Mus musculus: one gene and its partner. The protein of the gene in region 1 purifies or fractionates together with the protein of each later gene. This does not show direct contact. Links are inferred from orthologs where the notes say so. Each region holds a gene or a part of one and is shown in the gene's direction. Other genes may lie near its edges. The genes, in order: Daxx and Baz1b.

Evidence for each region.
Region 2: the proteins of Daxx (region 1) and Baz1b purify together in Homo sapiens (co-immunoprecipitation; 3 studies listed by BioGRID and IntAct, with this or other methods). This does not show direct contact. The link is inferred for Mus musculus from reciprocal best matches to the Homo sapiens genes DAXX and BAZ1B.

What each region holds. Positions count from the first base shown.
Region 1 is NC_000083.6:33,905,654-33,915,305, forward strand, and holds the start of Daxx (death domain-associated protein 6), read left to right. Parts: upstream 1-3,791; 5' UTR 3,792-3,945; exon of another isoform or gene 3,946-4,201; intron 4,202-4,777; 5' UTR 4,778-4,793; coding exon 4,794-5,018; intron 5,019-5,584; coding exon 5,585-6,416; intron 6,417-6,504; coding exon 6,505-6,716; intron 6,717-6,934; coding exon 6,935-7,154; intron 7,155-7,619; coding exon 7,620-8,073; intron 8,074-8,152; exon of another isoform or gene 8,153-8,189; coding exon 8,190-8,409; intron 8,410-9,652. Other genes in the region: Smim40 (small integral membrane protein 40), read left to right, coding at 1-230. UniProt on the Homo sapiens protein: Transcription corepressor known to repress transcriptional potential of several sumoylated transcription factors. Down-regulates basal and activated transcription.
Region 2 is NC_000071.6:135,182,279-135,192,030, forward strand, and holds the start of Baz1b (tyrosine-protein kinase BAZ1B), read left to right. Parts: upstream 1-5,044; 5' UTR 5,045-5,371; coding exon 5,372-5,478; intron 5,479-9,752. UniProt on the Homo sapiens protein: Atypical tyrosine-protein kinase that plays a central role in chromatin remodeling and acts as a transcription regulator. Involved in DNA damage response by phosphorylating 'Tyr-142' of histone H2AX (H2AXY142ph).

The sequences.
Region 1 (9,652 bases):
AGGGCGGCGTGGAGGAGGGGGACGTGTTCCTAGCATTTGCCCAGGGTCCCATTCCTCCTCGGGGGCCCGTGCGGCGGGCTTTGGACAAGATCTTCCTCGCCTTCTTGGTCCTCTTCCTGACTCTGCTGATGCTGGAGGCTGCTTACAAACTGCTGTGGCCCCTGCCATGGGCCAAGTTTCAGGACTGGCTCCTGAGGACCCCTGAGGAGGAGGCAGCTCTGGAACTCTGAGCGTCTTCATAGACCACCTGTCCTTGCTACTGAGGTGAGAAAGGAGATGTTAGAGAGGTCAGGGTGGAAGACATAGTTAAGGCCAACACTCTGAGATTATCTTTGTTTATCTGCGTTTCTGTTTGTGGGTATGTGCATGAGTTCAGGTGCCCGCGGAAGCTAGAGGTTGTCGGATCCCTAGGGGCTGGGGTTATAGAAGGTGTTAGTCACCTGAAGTGGGTACTGGGAACCAGACTCAGGTCTGCAACACACACACACACACCTTTATATACATACTGTATATAAATGTAATTTCAGAACCCACATGAGAGCATACAAAGAATAATTTTTCCTTTTGAATAGCTTATTTTGCTTAAGAATGTACTTTTTTCTTTTATTTTTTAAGATTTAAAGTGCACTGTAGCTATCTTAGACATTTTTTTCTTCTCTCTCCAGCCCAGCTCACTCAAAGATTTATTATATGTACGTACACTGTCGCTGTCTTCAGACACCCCAGAAGAGGGCATCAGATCTCATTAAGGATGGTTGTGAGCCACCATGTGGTTGCTGGGATTTGAACTCAGGACCTCTGGAACAGCAGTCAGTGCTCTTAACCGCTGAGCCATTTCTCCAACCCTTAAGAGTGTATTTTATTTCCTTTTGATTTCCTGCAAGTATCATGGTTTCAGTTTTCTTTCTGGCTGTAAGACTCCATTGTATGTCCGAACCACATTTTATCTGTTTTACGGGCCAGTTGGCTGCTTCTGTTCTTTTGCCTATTGCAATCGCTACAGCAATAAACATGGATGTGTACGTGGTGTTCTGACTTAAATTTCTTCAAGTATCTATCCAGGAGCAATACATCTAGGACATGTTAGGTCTTAGGCCGTGCATAGGTCCAGAGATGGGTCCTGGCCCACCTCAAGCTGGACTCTAGAAGAGTCCCTGGCAGTTAGACAAAGGCCAGAATTCCCCCAGGACCTTGTGAAACAGGCTCCTGTCTGCAGAAAGGATGTTTCCCTTGCCTCTGGAAAAAGGACACAAGGCTCAGCAGTGTGCCTGGGGTGCCTCTGTGCGTGTTCCCATACTAGCATCCTCCTTCCTGAGACTCCCAGCCCTGCTCCAGGTCAGGGCCTCCCTAACCCTAGCTCCCTCCATATACATCTCATACGCAGCGGCTGTCTACCATTTCTCATCATGGCTGCTCACAGCTCCAGTCCCTGGGATCAGTCCACCCTCTTTTGATCTTCATGTCCATAAAAAGTACTTTGAGCATTTGTGATTATTGCAGGAACAGAATGGATCAGACAATGTAAAAACCTATGCTTACTTTTATTCATTATATATAAGGAATTCTGGTTAATTTCACCTGCGTTTCTCTTGGATGCCCCTCTCCTAGGGAAGCTCTTACTCCCCCAGGCTGATTCTACTCCCTGGCTCCTCCCCCCACTGTTAAGTTTAATTGGGATTTGCAGGAGGGGACCTAGGGGTTGGAGCTCCCTGGGTTTACCAGTGGCAGAAAAAGACTCTCCCAACAAGAATTGCCAATAGCTCTTTAGAGATGGGTGGGGATTCTCATGAGCCCCCTTCCTTATTTCTGATTTTTTTCTTTCTTTCTTTTTTTTTATTTTCAAGACAGGTTTCTCTGTTTAGCCCTGGCTGTCCTAGAACTCAGAAATCTGCCTGCCTCTGCCTCCCAAGTACTGGGATTAAAGGCATGCGCCACCATGCCCAGCTTTCTGATGGGCTTTTTTTTTTTGTTTTTAAAGATTTATTTTATTATTATATCTAAGTACACTGTAGCTGTCTTCAGACACACCAGAAGAGGGCATCAGATCTATATTAAGGATGGTTGTGAACCACCATGTGGTTGCTAGGACTTGAACTCATGACCTTTGGAAGAGCAGTCAGTGCTCTTACCTGCTGAGTCATCTCTCCAGCTCCTCTGATGGTCTCTTAATAGCAGGTAATCTTGGCCTCTGTGAGTTGGTCAGTGCCACAAGCTGGCCTTGTCACAGAACTCTAATCCAACTTTCACCTCCTAACTTCCATCCACACCCGCTCCCTTCTTCCATGGTCCCTCAGCTTGCAGTCAGTTTTTATAACGACTAACTTTAACAATACATTTATTTTACTTTACGTGTATGGATGATTTGCCTGGATGCTCGTATGTTCACCACACACAAGCCTATTGGATTTCCTGGAACTGGGATTACAGTTGGTTGTGAGCAACAAGTGCTCTTAAAGGCTTTCACAGGCACTTGCACTCATGTTGTGTAGAGACTTACACTGGCACACGCGTAAAAGGGAATATAAATAATTGTGAAAAGATGGGGGAACCTTTATTTCAGGGAAACCCATTTTGAGAAACCCAAGGATAAGAAAATTAAATCATCTCTTAAGAGTCCGGTCAGCCATTGGAGAGCTACCCCACCCCACCCCACCCCGCTCCTATTGAAATGCTGTAAGCCCAGAAGGCCGGACACAATGAGAGGAGGTGGGTTTAAAATTGAAGTTCGGGTCCTCTGAGAGCAGCTGGGCTTCTTTCTTGGTCCTGCAAATTGGCAAGATGCCCACCACCGTGGAAGGAAGGCTGCAGAGCCGAAGTCTCCGCGCAGAGTGTTGACGTTCAGGCTTCCTCATCAACACCTGCGGACCTTGCCTCCCCACCCTGGGCCGGGCGGGCATCACAGTGGTTTCCCCCTCTTCCTTTTCTCCGCGGCTCTGCGGGAGAAGAAGACACCCCGCGGGATTTCATGAGCCTCTTTTCCTAGAGCTCCCAGCGGCAGCTTGCACGGCTTCTCCCCAAGCCCGCGCCAGGTTATCCCGCGCTCCGCCTCCCGCCCTGCAAACCCAGGCAGTGAAGCACTGCCTTCTGTACCGGTCAAGACGACTCCGGGACAAACAGGGGGCCCACGGTTCGCACCAGGGGGCTCGGTCATAACGACAGTGGTGCAGTCTGAGATGCGTGTCGCCGACGACAATAAAAACAATAGCTCACTCCAGCATCATGCTGTGCTCATTTGTATGCGTGTGTTCGTGTGTGTGTGCACCTGGCCCAGGAGGCCCGGCTGGACAGCCTCGAGGTGCACGCCTCCTCTCGAAGGAAGGGAAGGGCCAGCGTAGGCAGCCAGGCGGTGGAACTCCAGGGGCCGGAGGGAGAGCAGAGAAGGCGGTGCAAGGCTTACACCAACCCAGGGCAGGAAAAGCATATCTTTTATTTCGTTCCCTGGAGCCCTGCACAGCCATAGAGACATCAGCTCCTTAGCTACCTGCAGGAGATTCCTTACCCTCCTAGGGTGGAGGGACCGGTCTTACCCGATGCGACTCCACGCGATGGCTTGGGGTTGTGGGGCAGGTCTGAGGCTGGAGTTTCTGATTGGCCGAGCGGCTTCGGCAAGCTCCTGGTGCAAAGAGCTCCACGCCTCGCCGCGGAGCAGGCCGGTGCCGTACGGCAACATGGCGCGCCCCATCTACCTGGTCCTCCGCCCCGCCCCGTCGAGCCTCCGCGTCCCCGGAGCGGTGGCCTCGGTGGGCGAGCCGAGCGTCACTTCCGGCTCTAAGCGGCCTGGGTCCCGTACAGCAATATGGCCGCCCTCAGGTGCTCCAGGCGGAAGCGCTAAGGCTTCCGGTCTGTTGTGGGGTCTGCGGTGGGGGTTGGGGAGAGGAAGGCGGAGGGAACTATGCGAGGATTTGTGATCCGCGCTCAGGGGATCCTCGAGAGACCGTTTCTGAGGTGGGGGCCAGGTCGTGCGCGGAGCGGGGGTGGCGGCGCAGGAGTGGCGAAGGCGACGGCTCGGCAGGGCCTGCCCGACGAGGCTCAGGGCCGAGCTGGTAGGGTACCTTGCTAGCCCTGAAGGCGAGTGTGGCGGCCTAGGGCTGAACGCCGAGAGAGGGCTCCTTGGCGGGAAGCTGAGGCCCAGACAGGAGGAATGGCGAGTGGTGGGCTCGCTGTCGGGTACCGTCGCTGAGAGTTGGCTGGGAAAACCAGGGTGCGGTGAGAGGGAGGGGACTGGAGGTGAAAAATCTCCAGCCTACAGCCCCGGTTGGAGGAAGGGGGAACACGGAGATGACTGTAGGAGCGGAGAGGACACCAGGCTCTGGGGAGGGAGTCGAAGAGTTGGAGTTAAGGAGAAGTCCGAGAGGACTGTGTTGTTTGAGGGCGAGAGCTGGGCAAACCCACTACGTGGTGTGGACAGGGTGTTGGTTCCTGTAGACAGAAAAACTCGGAGAGCAGCGTGGGACCTTGTCCTCCATTGGATTGGGAGGAAAGAGAAAACGTAGCAGCTGACAGAGTGTGGGAAAACGCAACCGAAAGACAGGAAACGCACTGGGGTGGGAGTGGCTGGAGTTGAGGGTGAGGATTTAAGGTGATCCGGAGGCTTTCCCCCAGAGCTGCTCGAAACTGAGAGTTGCAGAAGACAGGCGTTGAAGACTTGGGAAGGCTTGGGAAGGACTAAGCTATTCTGAAACCCCGACGGGGTGGGACTAAGCAGGAGGGGCTCTTTCGAGGCTCCCTTGTCCTGCCCCTTCCAGAATTCTGACCTTTCCAATACTTTCTCCCTCAGGGGAATTTGAACCCCCATGGCCACCGATGACAGCATCATTGTACTTGATGATGACGATGAAGATGAAGCTGCTGCTCAACCAGGGCCCTCCAACCTACCCCCCAATCCTGCCTCAACAGGACCTGGTCCTGGCCTGTCTCAACAGGCCACTGGTCTCTCCGAGCCCCGTGTGGATGGAGGGAGCAGTAACTCCGGTAGTAGGAAGTGCTACAAGTTGGATAATGAGAAGCTCTTTGAAGAGGTAAGCTTTTGAGATAAAAGGGTCGCCCTTTGTGGCCCATGCTGGCCTTGAACTCACAGAGCTTTTACTTGCCTCAGCCTCCTGACAGCTAGGATTAAAAATGTGAACCACTGGGCAGGAGAGATGGTTCAGCGGTTAAGAGCATTGAGCATCCAGAAGTCCTGAGTTCAATTACCACCAACCACATGATGGCGTGGCTCACAGCCGTCTGTAATAGGATCTGATGCCCTCTTCTGGTGTATCTGAAGACAGCTACAGTGTACTCATATATAGAATAAATGTTAAAAAAAAAAGCTGGGCAGTGGTGGAGCACACCTTTATTCCCAGCACTTGGGAGGCAGAGGCAGGCAGATTTCTGAGTTCGAGGACAGCCTGGTCTACAGAGTGAGTTCCAGGACAGCCAGAGCTACACAGAGAAACCCTGTCTTGAAAAACAAAAGATGTGATCCACTATGGTGTGATAGGGCCGATGCCAGGTAAAGGGGTGTGTGATTGGCTGGTTGTTCTGGCTTCCTCACCGATTCCATCTTTTTTTCCCCCCTTTTCCCTTCCCTTGAACCATGTAGTTCCTTGAACTGTGTAAGACGGAGACATCAGACCACCCTGAGGTGGTTCCGTTCCTCCACAAACTGCAGCAGCGTGCCCAGTCTGTGTTTCTGGCCTCTGCAGAGTTCTGCAACATCCTCTCCAGGGTTCTGGCTCGGTCTCGGAAGCGGCCCGCTAAGATCTATGTGTACATTAACGAGCTCTGCACTGTTCTTAAAGCTCACTCCATCAAGAAGAAGTTGAACTTAGCTCCTGCAGCCTCAACGACCAGTGAGGCGTCGGGCCCTAACCCTCCCACAGAGCCCCCCTCTGACCTTACAAACACTGAAAACACTGCCTCTGAGGCCTCAAGGACTCGCGGTTCCCGGAGGCAGATCCAGCGCCTGGAGCAGCTGCTGGCACTGTACGTAGCCGAGATTCGGCGGCTGCAGGAGAAGGAGTTGGACCTGTCAGAGCTGGATGACCCAGACTCCTCGTATTTGCAGGAGGCCCGCTTGAAGAGGAAGTTGATCCGCCTCTTCGGGCGGTTGTGTGAGTTGAAGGACTGCTCTTCTCTGACGGGGCGGGTCATAGAGCAGCGAATTCCGTACCGAGGCACCCGGTACCCAGAGGTCAACAGGCGCATTGAACGGCTCATTAACAAGCCGGGGCTGGACACCTTCCCCGATTATGGAGATGTGCTGAGAGCCGTGGAGAAGGCGGCGACCCGGCACAGCCTGGGCCTTCCCAGACAGCAGCTTCAGCTCCTGGCTCAGGATGCCTTCCGGGACGTGGGCGTCAGGTTACAGGAGCGGCGCCACCTGGATCTCATCTACAACTTTGGCTGTCACCTCACAGATGACTATAGGCCAGGTAGGACGCTCCCTTCAGGTTGGATGGAGGCATCTCTAGTCCCTTGTAGGATTGGGACTGGGTTTGCTGACCCTGTTTTCCCACACAGGCGTTGACCCCGCACTGTCTGATCCCACATTGGCTCGCCGCCTTCGGGAAAATCGAACCTTGGCCATGAACCGGCTGGATGAGGTCATCTCCAAGTATGCAATGATGCAAGACAAGACTGAGGAGGGCGAGAGACAGAAGAGACGAGCCCGGCTCTTAGGCACCGCCCCCCAACCTTCAGACCCCCCCAAAGCCTCCTCGGAATCTGGTGAGGTATGGAAGGGTTAACTCAGATCTTGTCTGCGCCCTGCACTGCCACTAGGCACTCCAGGGTGACTCCTGGAGCAGCGTATGGAAGTGGGGAAAGAATATTGGTGATGTGCTTGCCTTGCAGTCTCGCAGTCATGAGCTCCCAGAGTTGAGTCCTCCTCCTACCAATCAAAAAGCTGTGGGGCACGGGATTCCTTAAGAGAGACTGCTCTTTCCCTCAGGGTCCTAGCGGAATGGCATCCCAGGAGTGCCCTACTACCTCCAAAGCTGAGACTGATGATGACGATGATGACGATGATGATGACGACGACGAAGATAACGAGGAAAGTGAGGAGGAGGAGGAGGAGGAAGAGGAGGAGAAAGAGGCTACTGAAGATGAAGATGAGGATCTAGAACAGTTGCAGGAAGATCAGGGGGGTGATGAAGAAGAGGAAGGAGGAGGTATATGCGTAAACGGAGCTCCTCTGTGGGGAGCATCCTTGTGGTGTTAGTTCTGCTCTGTCGGACATGAGCTCCTTGTTGAGCCTTTCCCTCCCTTCCTCCCTCCCTCCCTCCCTCCCTCCCTCCCTCCCTCCCTCCCTCCCTTCCTTCCTTCCTTCCTTCCTTCCTTCCTTCCTTCCTCCTCCTCCTCTTCCTCCTCCTATGCCCTTTTTTTTTTTTTTAAAGATTTATTGATTATTATATGTAAGTATACTGTAGCTGTCTTCAGACACACCAGAAGAGGGCGTCAGATCTCGTTACGGATGGTTGTGAGCCACCATGTGGTTGCTGGGACTTGAACACTGGACCTTTGGAAGAGCAGTCCGGTGCTCTTACCCACTGAGCCATCTCTCCAGCCCTCTCCTATGTCCTTTGCACAGCCCCTCTATCCCTGTTCCTCATCCACCCCTCCCCTTTCTTTTCCAGATAATGAAGGAAATGAGAGTCCCACATCGCCTTCAGACTTTTTCCATAGAAGGAATTCAGAGCCTGCAGAAGGGCTCAGGACCCCCGAGGGGCAGCAAAAGAGAGGACTGACAGAGACCCCAGCATCCCCGCCAGGGGCATCCCTGGACCCTCCCAGCACTGACGCTGAGAGCAGTGGAGAGCAGCTCCTCGAGCCGCTCCTGGGAGACGAGAGTCCTGTGTCCCAGCTCGCTGAGCTAGAGATGGAAGCTTTGCCTGAGGAAAGGGACATTTCCTCCTCCAGGAAAAAGTCGGAAGATTCCCTCCCCACCATCTTGGAAAATGGGGCAGCTGTGGTTACCTCTACATCTGTCAATGGGCGTGTCTCTTCTCACACTTGGAGAGATGCCAGTCCCCCCAGCAAGAGATTTCGGAAGGAAAAGAAGCAACTGGGCTCTGGACTGTTAGGAAACAGGTAATAGTGGGTGAGGAGGAAGGCAGGCAAGGAGGCAGGACTCTCTGAAGGGAGCCTGATGTCCTAGGTCTCCCTGCAGCCTCAGGCCCTTTCTGTCATTTTTCTTCTGTCCTTAGCTATATAAAAGAACCGATGGCACAGCAGGACAGTGGGCAGAACACAAGTGTCCAGCCTATGCCATCCCCCCCCTTGGCCTCTGTGGCTTCTGTCGCTGATTCCTCCACAAGGGTGGACTCTCCCAGCCATGAACTGGTGACCAGCTCTCTGTGCAGCCCTTCTCCATCCCTGCTTCTCCAGACACCCCAGGCTCAGTCTCTCCGGCAGTGTATTTATAAGGTGAGTGGGCAGTGTCCCCTGGCACTGCATTCTCACCCTTTCCCTTTCTGTGGGTATTGCACCTCCTGCTCCTCTGTTTTCCCCATCTTCCTGCCCGCCCGCAAGTGCGTGCACGTGCATGCATGCTTGTGTAGTGACAGTTTTGGAATTTTGGCGTCTTTATAACAACTCAGAGCTGAGTGGTAGCGACACATGCCTTTGATCCTGGGAGGCAGAGGCAGGAGCATCTCTCTTGAGTCTGAGGCCAGCCTGGTTTACAAAGTGTGTCCCAGGACAGCCAGGGCCACACAGAGAAACTGTCTAAAACCCAAAAACCAACTAACTGACAAACAAAAAACCAGTGAAATAGGTTTTCATTTTAATCCCGGTGTGGAGTGTGGGGCTGCTTCCAACTGACTGTGACTGTGAGCTCTAGAGGTGTGGCTTTACCAGCTACAGATAGTTGCTTTGGTTGTGTGAAGTGATGTTTGGAATTCTGGGAACTTTTCAGGAGAGCATATAAATGGCAGAGCCTCCCCACCTTCCAGGAAGCATGGTTGGTGGTAGTACAGGGGTTGGTTGTGGTTTGTTAGTAGTCTTGCTCAAAGAACAAACAGGAAGAGAGACATTAGAATCAGAGATCCTGTCTCTCCTGTCTATCCTTTCTTTTCTATCTAGTGATGGGGGCGGATAAAGGGGAGGAAAAAGAACACACAAAGTCTCAAAGACTGGCTGTGTGTGTGTGTGTGTGTGTGTGTGTGTGTGTGTGTGTGTTTAGGTTTAACCCCATCAACCAGGAGGCAGAGGCATACAGGTCTCTCTAACTTCAAGGCCACAGTCTAGTCTACCCAGTGACAGTCAAGGTTACATAGTGAGACCATGTAAAACAAAACAAAAAAGACTTATTTTATGTAAATAGGTGTTTTGTTGGCATGCATACCTATGTGCTACATTTGTGTCTGGTGCTCATGGAGGCCAGAAGAGGGCGTCTGATCCTATAGATCTGGAGTCACGGAGAAGGCAGAGAGCCGCCATGTGAGACTGGATACAACACTCGGGTCTTCTGCAAAGCAGCTGCGTGCTTAGTGGCTGAGCCATCTTCCAGCCTTCCATCCTGCTTTGTTTTGTTTCTGAGACAAGGTCTTTCTATGTAGCCCTGACTGTCCCAGAACTCTGTATGTAGTAGATCAGGCTGGCCCCAAACTCGGATATCAGCCCGCCTCTGCCTCTTGAGTGTTCGGACTAAAGGCGTGAGCCGCCATGC
Region 2 (9,752 bases), on another chromosome or scaffold:
AGGACCAAACTTGAGGTGATCTTTTGACCTCCATATGAACCCTGGTACACGTGCTGACACTCATGTGAACACCCGTCATACGTGAGGATCTAGTGTATGTATGTATGTATGTATGTATGTATGTGCATGCATAAGTTCTATACATCCATTCCTAGGCAGGAGAGAGAGGTGGCTTGGTGGTTACAGGCAGCACGTACTGCTCTTACAGACGATCTGAGCTGAGTTCCCAGCACCTGCAGCATGGTTCATGACCAGAGGGGTTCTACCTTCCATACCACTTGAAACAAGGCACACTAGTGTACTTGTGGCACTGGAGATGGGTAGGCAGGAAGACCAGGGTCAGCCCTAACATGGTGGCACATGCCTTTAATCTCAGCACTTGAGAGGTAGAGGCAGGAGAATTTCTGTGAATTCAAGGCTGGTCTACATAGTTCTAGGTCAGCCAGAGCTACACTCTGACTCAAGAAAAAAGAAAGAAAGAAAAGAAAAGTTTAGGATGATCCTTTAGGCCAGCCTAGATTCCAAAGGACCCTGTCTCACAAACGAAGAAGGAACTGGAAACTCAGTTCCGCAGTTGAGAGCACTCCTTTAGAGCGGACTCGGGTTCAATTCCCAGAACCCACATGGATGCTAACAATGAAGGGTAACTTCAGTCCCAGGAGCTATGACATCTGCTTGTGGCCTCTGAGAGCGTGGCACACCTGTAGTGCAGTCATAAACAGAGACTAAACACTCATCCACATAAATAGTAAAACTTGGCCGGGCATAGTGGCATGCACCTTTAATCCTAGCACTAGAGAGGCAAAAAGCAAGTGACTGTGGGTTTGAGGCCCTGGTCTACAGAGTTCCAGGGCAGCCAGAGCTACATCTTGGAACTCTCTCAAAAGTAAATAAGATAATAACAAAAGATTCAGCTTGGTCATGTAGCTTTAAATGGCGCTTTTCCCGGCAGGAAACCAGCGACTGCTAACTGGGGAGCAGACACAGGAGGAGGTCTGTAGAGGATCCCTAGAAACTGCTGGCTTCAATCTCTGTCCTTTAGTATTAATTTGTTTATTCAAATGGGACAGAGCCTACATGGAATGAGTAATCATGCTAAAATTATGATTTACAAAGAAAAAAAAATAGTTGCACTGGGGGTGTAGCTCAGCTGGTAGAGAGAGCTTGCCTCTCATTCGAGAAGCCTCGAGTTGGACAGAGGCCCTGAACAGCAGAAATGGGGCAGCACACCACACCTGTGAGCCAGGCTCTGGGTGGCGAAACCAGAAGATGAGAGGTTTAAGGTCATTTTCACAGCTTTACAGTAAGACAGGCCAGCCTGGCTTGAAAGAGATCCTGCCTCAAAAACAAATCCAAAGCCTTGAGTTGTGCATTCTGTCAGAGGTGGGGGAGGGACTCAAAGGCCTGCCCCTCCCTGGGAATCTAGGAGAGTCAAAGCTGCTGGGAGAGGGAGCAGCATCTTCAGTGGTGTGGTGGCCTGTACATAAGCCCTCATCCATGCTCCTGCTAGGGGGCAGCACAAAACGCATTCTTTCTCTCTCACTCTCTCCGCCCCCTCCCCTCCCCCCCCCCCCCCCCAGAAAAACAAACAAGGGGCTGGTTAAGAGGACTGTTTGCTCTTCAGAGGTCATGAGTTCAATTCCCAGCAACCACATGGTGGCTCACAACCATTGGTAATTAGTTCAGGACATCAAAAGGAGGTTAAGAAAAAAAAGAAAAAGAAAAACAAAAAGAAAAAAAACAAAAAACAAAAAGCAAACCCTCAAAGATAACAATAACAAAACCAACAAGACAAAACATGAAGCAAAATAATAATAATACCAAAAATAATACCAAAAACAACAAAATATGAAAGTAGGTCCCTGTAGTGGTACATGGGAGGCAGAGGCAGGGAGATTTCTGAGTTTGAGGCCAGCCTGGTCTACAGAGTGAGTTCCAGGACAGCCAGGGGCACACACAGAATCCCTGTCTCGGAAAACCAAAAACAAACCAAACCAAACCAAAATTAAAATAACAAACAAACAAACCAGGCCAGGCAGTTAATACCAGCACTTGGGAGGCAGAGACAGGAAGATTTCTGAGTTTGAGGCCAGTCTGGTCTACAGAGTGAGTTCTAGAACAGCCAGGGCTACACAGAGAAGCCCTGTCTCAAAAGAAATACACACACACACACACACACACACACATATACATATTTATTATGAAAATGTTTGATGAACTCATTATTACACAAATACATATAAACAATATATGCTTTTTTTTTTTTTTTTTTTTTTTTTGAGACAGGACTTCTCTGTATAGCCCTCGCTGTTCAGGAACTCACTTTGTAGTCTCAGCACTAGTTAGCAGAAGGGACCAGGAGGAACACAAGCAGAAGTTCTCAGCTGTACCTCTCATGAGGAAGTGAAGATCAGCGAAGAGTGGATACTAACAAGCATTGCTCAGCCGGCTATCCCAGCAAGCAAGCTCAGCCTCTGTTATTGTCTGTTGAGTCCTTTGAGTTTTTTGGTGTATTTCTCTCTATGGAGTCCTGACAAATGTAGCCCAACTACAAAATATAAGGTGGACCGATACATGTGTGTCATTAGTGAAGAATCCTTCATCATATGTCCTTTCACAAGCTTGCAGAACATTCTTTCTCACATGTCTGCTTCAGTGAAACATTCCTTCACATGTTTGCCCCAGCAAAACACCATCCAACACAACTGGCTTTCCAAAGAACCCTCAAATTCCCACTTCAGATGGGTGTGCTTAGAACAATTGGAAGAAAAGATTCAGAAGGCAATGAGCAATCCAAGGTACAGAGGAGAGGTGGATGCAGCTAGGAGACTGAGGCAGGAGGCCTGTGGTTTGAGGCTGGCCTGGCTACATGGCATGAACCTGTCTCACAAAACCAGGATGGCAGTGCCAGGTGGTTCTGTCCCGGCCCAGTAAGCGCATTTTTCTTTACCTTCCCTTTTTTCTTTCATTTCTCCTTTCCTTCTTTTGCTTCCTGTCCCTACTCCACCCCCTTTATGATAGGCCATAGTCCTGCCTGACAAGTTGCCTCTCCTTCCCAGTGCTGGCATTCTGATCTTCACGACCACCTAGTATCAGATCCTCAACTCTCCAGCTTTTACTATTATTTTCTTGTGTGTGTGTCTGTGTGTGAATGTATGTTTTGCCTGTGTGTCTGTGCCCTACATGTGTACAGTGCCCAAGGAGACCAGAAGAGAGTGTCAGATCCTCTGGGACTGAACTTACAGATTGTTGTGAGCCACCATGTGGGTGCTGGGACTCAAACTCTAGTTCCCAGCAAGAGTAGCCAGTACTCTTAATTTTGAGTCATATCTCTGGCCCCAACGTTTATTTATTTATACATACATATCCTTTAATAGGATTTTAATTAATGAACTATACATTTAAATTTATTATTGTTATTGTTGGTTTCAGAGTCTCACTATGTACTTATTTATGTGAAGAGGTGGGGGTGGAGTGGGGGTGTGAAGGCATGCCCACATGCCTTCAGAGACCAAAAGAGGGCGCTAGAGCGTCTTTGACCTTTTGAACTGGAGTTAGTAATGGTTGAGAGCCATTGCATGTGGATGCTGGAATCCAACTCAGGTCTTCTGCAAGAGCAGTATGTGTTAACCTTAAGCCATCCCTTTAGGCCCATCTTTTTTAATAGTACATTTATTTTTATTTTAAATTATGTGTATGGGGGGGGTATGTATACAGGGTTGCAAGAATCTACTGCTCTGGAGTCACAGGCGATTGTGATCCTCCAACACAAAAACTGTGAATCAGACCCAGAATCTCTGGAAGAACTCTTAATTGCATGCGGAGTCACTTCTCCAGCCCCATGAGCTTAATACATATGTTTTCTAACATAGCTTTATTTATTTATTGTTATAGGGATTTGCTATTCAGCCTGTAAGACTGTAGCCCAGGTTAGTCACAAACTCACTTAGGACCGTCCAGCTTCAAAAACCTGCATCACTTAGTTGCACTATATACACACACACATATATATATATACACACACATATATATGAATGAATATAGTCTTTTACATATGTACATACAGAAAACCTTCTTTATTATTCTTCCGTTTATTTTACTTTCAAGATTTATTTTTAAATTGTGTATGTGTGCACACGTGGTGGGGGATGTTACGTGCACGTGAGTACGTGCACCTGAGGAGGCAAGAGGAATGGGAACTCCTGGAGCTGCAGCCGGAGGCAGGTTCCAGCTACCCGATGTGGGAGCTAAGAATTGAACTTGGGTCCTCTGAACGAGTACAAGATCTTAGCCCCTGAGTCTGCTCTGCGGCTCTTCCTCCACATATTTTTAAAGAAAGTTCTTCATTATCCTTCCCTGTAGTCCTTAAAAAACAGGCTGTTAATCTCCATTTCTCAATTACAGTGATGCCGCGTCGGGGAAGGTTGGGGTCCTAGTCGCCCCAATGCGGAACTTCAGTTTGGAGAGGGCCTGAGTTACTTCCCGCCCAGTACAGCTCCACCCGCGCATCCCCGGGCGTGGCCGAGCGCGGCCCCTTTAAGAAGGGGGGCGGAGCGCGAGTGGAAAGACAAAGCCCCTGGCCGCGCGCTCCCCCTCCCCCCTCCGGCGCAGCACACGGACAGTGAGTGCCCGGATGTCGGTGTCGCCGTCGGTGACAGATGGCGCAATGTCTGTATCAGTGACAGGGCTTTTTGCTCTGACCTCTTTGAGTCTTCCGCTTTTCGTCCTCCCCCTCCTACTGCTGTCCCATTACTTTTGAAGTCCGCCACTGGAGGCCCGCACGCCCGTCCCCGGCTCTTACATAACGTGACCTTTCACCTTTTCAGACTGCCCTCTGCTGCGCTGCAACTCAACTTCGCGGCTGGAGCCCAGGGGGCGGGACTCGACCTCGGAGCGGCAGCCTCTCTGAGCCAATAGGCTGCGAAGGCCGACGAGCCCTCCGCCTATCGGAGCCTCCGCCCCAGGGCGCCACGGAGAAGCAAGTTAGTCTGTGCGCTGGCCCGGCAGCGGGGGGGAGGAAGGGAATCTCCCGCCATTTTTCAATAATTTCCTCCCGTGCCCGCTGGAGAGGAGTCGTGACTGGCGGCCGCCGCGGCGGAGATCGGCGTGAGGTGAAAGGCGCCGGAAGGGGCGAGGAGAATCTCTCCGTTTTCTCCCCTCGAGGCGTCCCCCTGGCTTCCATGGCCGTGGCGCGGTCCCGCCAGCTCTGAGGGAAGCCGGAGTTCGCGCCGCCCTCTCACCCCTCCCCTCCCCCATCGCCCCGGGAGCCAGGCGCCTCGCTCGCTCGCTCGCCCCGGGGCTGCCGGGGCCTAGCGCTGCGCAGCAGAGCGGCCGAGCCTTCGGCGCTCCGTCCCCTGCCGGCGCCGCCGCGATGGCGCCGCTGCTGGGCCGCAAGCCCTTCCCGCTGGTGAAACCGCTGCCCGGAGAGGAGCCGCTCTTCACCATCCCGCACACTCAGGAGGCCTTCCGCACCCGGGAGTATCCTTTCTCCGCGCGCGGTGTGGACGCTCGGCCGCGGCTGCGCAGGGCGAGGGATGGAGATGGCGAGATGCGAATGGGCCGCGCGCGGCTCGCGGGGCAGCTGTCACCGCACGGGGCCGTCCGCGGGCCGTGATGCCCGGGGCCCTGCTTTACCCGGGCTTGGGAGCTCCGCGGCGAGATCCCTCCGGGCCGTCTCCAGCCGTCCTTCCCGGAACCGCGCGCCTCCATCCCTTTTCCCCTTACTTTGTCCCCGGGGCCTCGGTGGTGATCGCAACACCAATCCCCTCCTCCCCAACTTGGCTTCGGGCCCTAAATGACTAGGGAGGGTAGCCGGGTTCCCTTTGCGCATTTTATTTCTCTCTCCTTTCATAGAAATGAAACCGTCAAGTTTAAGTTTTTGAAATTGTACCGGCGCAGCCGCGTGATCCGGCTTGTGCAAGCCTCTACTGCGTCTTGAGTGGGCTGTGCGGGGACACTGATGTGGCTTGTGGGTTTTGTTTTTCTCCTCCGGAGTGGACTTTAGGCCAGGGATGAACTGACAGAACCGTAAATCACAAAACCTGGCATTAACTTTTTACCCACTGAAGATGGGAAGGAGCAGAAAGGTACATTGATGGTTCTGGTGGCCATTTATTTCCTAGAGAACACAGAAGTTTGACACTTAGAAGTTTCATTTTTCCGTCTTTTTTTTTTTTTTTTTTTTTTTGAGGGAGCGCTTCATGTAGCACCGGCTGGCCTCGAACTCAGAGAGGCTGGACACTGCATTCCCGATCCTGTCTGTCTGTCTGCCTGTCTCTCTGTCTCTCAATCTCTCTCTCTCTCTCTCTCTCTCTCTCTCTCTCTCTCTCTCTCTGGTACGTGAAACTGGTGTTTTAGAATACAAAGTCAGCATTTCCAATCATTACTTTAAGATTTCTTGACCAAGCATAGCCTCTTAGTTAAAAGTTGTAGTACTTCCCCCCCCCCCCCCCCCGCCCCCGGTAGGGGGAATGTTGAATCTTTTAAGGCTTATTTGTTTTTTAAAAAGCTAAGTTTCCTTACCAAACTTGCCTGTCCTGCTATCTTTACCACCCCTTTTCCTTTGGAAAGATTAGGTAAGAGCAGGAAGGATTCAAGTGAAGTATTTCAGTTTGCTCTTGGCCTTTGCCTCTTTCCTGCTTTGTTTTTTGTTGTTTCATTTTTAATTGTCTTGTAACCTAGGTTGATGTCTAAGGTAGGTGTTGGAAGCTAAGTGTGACGTTTTCCTTCCTAACTTCCCAAGTGATGGAATTGCCGATCACCTGTGTAGATTTAATAAAATGTTCTGAATATTTAGGATACTTTTACTCCCCTTCCTTTCCTCAATATTTGGGGAATTTACCGTAGGGCCCTGCACTATTAGTAAGCTCCATCCTGGGCCCTCTGGTTTTTTATTTTGAGTCAGGGCATCATTAAAATTGCTGAGACTGGCTGGGAACTCACCATGTGGCTTAGGCAGGCCTTGAACTTTTGGTTCTCCTGCTTTAGCCTCCCTAGTATCTGGGATTAATAGACCTCAGGACCAGCCAGTACAGCTTCAGCCCTTCTAGCATCAGTTCTGAAAGGCAGTGTCCACCTACAGAGATTATTTTCCACCTTTTAATTTTGTCTGTATAGATGTTTCCCTGCCTATGTGTCTATGGAGCACTGTGTGTCTGGAGCACCCTGGAGGCCAGATTTGGATTGTGAGCTACTGTGAGGGTGCTGGGGATTGAACCCAGGTTCTGTGCACTTAACCTCACTGTTGACTCTAAGCCCCAGTTGGGTTTTTGTTTTTGTTTTCTCTTTCTTTCAGTAGGGTCTCACTGTGTGGCTCTGTCAAGGATGGAACATTTTGTAGAGCAGATTGGCCTGAAACTTAAAGATCTGCCATTCCATACCTGTTCTAAGTTCTGAGATGAAAGGGTTCTTGCAGCACCATGCCTGGCCTCCATGTAGGTGTTTGCTTATGTATGCTTATGGCATTTCTGAGCTGAAAAGGGTCTTAGAGGTGGTCCAGATTTCCTGTCTGCTTGCCCAGTGGGCCCAAGGGAATTGAAGTCGGTATGTTTAAAGTTCATGGACTCTTGTGTATAAATGATGAATGTTGGGATTACAATCCAGTGCTCTTTCAAGGATGTCACTGTAAATAAATGAAGGGAAGAACAGGAACTGTGGTACAGGATGGGGCCCAGGGCCCTGCATGTGCTCTGCAGGCTCTGACACACACCATGTTGCCTTTGAGCTCCTGAATCCTGCGACAGCCTCCCAAGTGAAGAGTTTCTGGGTTCTAGGGTCATAGTCATGTGCCACCATGCCACACATCCTCCTTTGCTTTTAACTGAATCAAAACTTTTTTTCTTTTAAAGATTTATATATTTTATGGACATGAGTGTTTTGCCTACATTTATATGTGTGAACCTTCTGTGTGCCTATACATGGTTTCCACATGTGTTAGCTGAGAACTGAACCTAGCTCCACAGCAAGTGCTCTTAACTGTTGAGCCACCCCCACACTTTTATTGAGATATTAGTCTACTCTGTGTCAGTTTGTGTTATAATTAGATGATATAAGGTGTATTTAGTTCTATGAAGTACATTATTCTAAAGGTACCATACTTGCTTTTAAAACTATTTTCATGATGTCAGTAGAGTAAAACTTACTCCTGGGACTCTGACATAGTCTCCTTACATGTCAGTTATCTATGTATCTATCTACTTACTTATTTATTTAGGCAGGGTGTCACTATGCAACCTTGACTGGCCAAGTCCAGACTGGTTTAAACTCCGAGGTTTGCTATCCTTGGTATCATGGTACCATACCCAGCTGATTCTTTGACCTATTGATGGTCATACTAATATTATCAGAGGTAAGTCTTTTTTTTTTTTAAGATTTATTTATTATTATATATAACTACACTGTAGCTGCTTCAGACACACCAGAAGAGGGAGTCAGATTTCATTACGGATGGTTGTGAGCCACCATGTGGTTGCTGGGATTTGAATTCAGGTCCTTTGTAAGAGCAGTCAGTGCTCTTACCTGTTGAGCCATCTCACCAGCCCCAGAGGTAAGTCTGAGACATTTGAAACATAGCCAGCTAATTTAGAATTATTAACAAAGGCATTGTTTATTATTTATTTATTGTCTGGAGGTGGGTTGGGTGTATATGCTTTGATGCACATTGTGGAGCAAGCAGGCACCATCATAGTACTGTTTCCCTAATCTTGCAAACATTTTCTTAATGAAAACTGAAACCTGAACCATTTTAAATGGTATACATTTAATAGACATTTGTTTAGAATTTCCTCTACCAGTATTTAGGACTTTTAGATAAATGAATTATTTTTTAAAAGATGATATTTAGAGGAAATTGCTCTCCTGGAAATTCCCAGAAGCAGGGAGCATATTGAGAGTAGTTTTGAGTTCTGGACCGTGTGGCTGGCTGGTTGGCATGTTTCATTATGAGTGGTTCCATAGAGGATAGCAGATGTATGGTTGAGCAACAGCTGTATTGGAAGTATCACCACTCCTCAATTTATATTTAGGGTTATACATATATATATTTAAAAGATTCATTTATTTATTATATTTAAGTACACTGTAGCTGTCTTCAGACACTCCAGAAGAGGGCATCAGATTTCATTATGGATGGTTATGAGCCACCATGTGGTTGCTGGGATTTGAACTCGGGACCTTTGGAAGAGCAGTCGGCACTCTTAACCACTGAGCCATCTCACCAGCTCTTAGGGTTATATTTTAATAAGAGTAATTTTCTCCTCATTTTGACTGCATGTTTAGCTATAACAACTTTTTCTATTTTAACTTAAAGCCGTGAGTATGTTCTTAAAAGGTACCTTGTATGCCTTCATTGAATTAATTGACAGTGGAAGCTTACTGGCCGCTTATGGCTGTAATCCCTGCATTCCAAAGCTAAGGCAGGAGGAAAGGGGGCTTTAGGCCAGCCTGGCTACAAGGGAGACCTTTTCTCAAAAACAGAAGGGCTGGAGAGATGGCAGTGTTAAGAGCACTACCATAGGTCTACCATAGAAACCCCGGATTGCAGGCTCAAAACCTGTAAATCCAGCTCCAAGGGAGCATAATGCCCTCTTCTGGCTTCTGTGGGTACTACACATACATGGCATGCTTCATTCACAGACACCAGCACACTCAAAATTTTTTAATAAGATTCATTTTATTTTATGTATATGAATATACTGTAGCTGTCTTCAGACTCACTAGAAGAGGGCATCAGATCCCATTACAGATGTTTATTA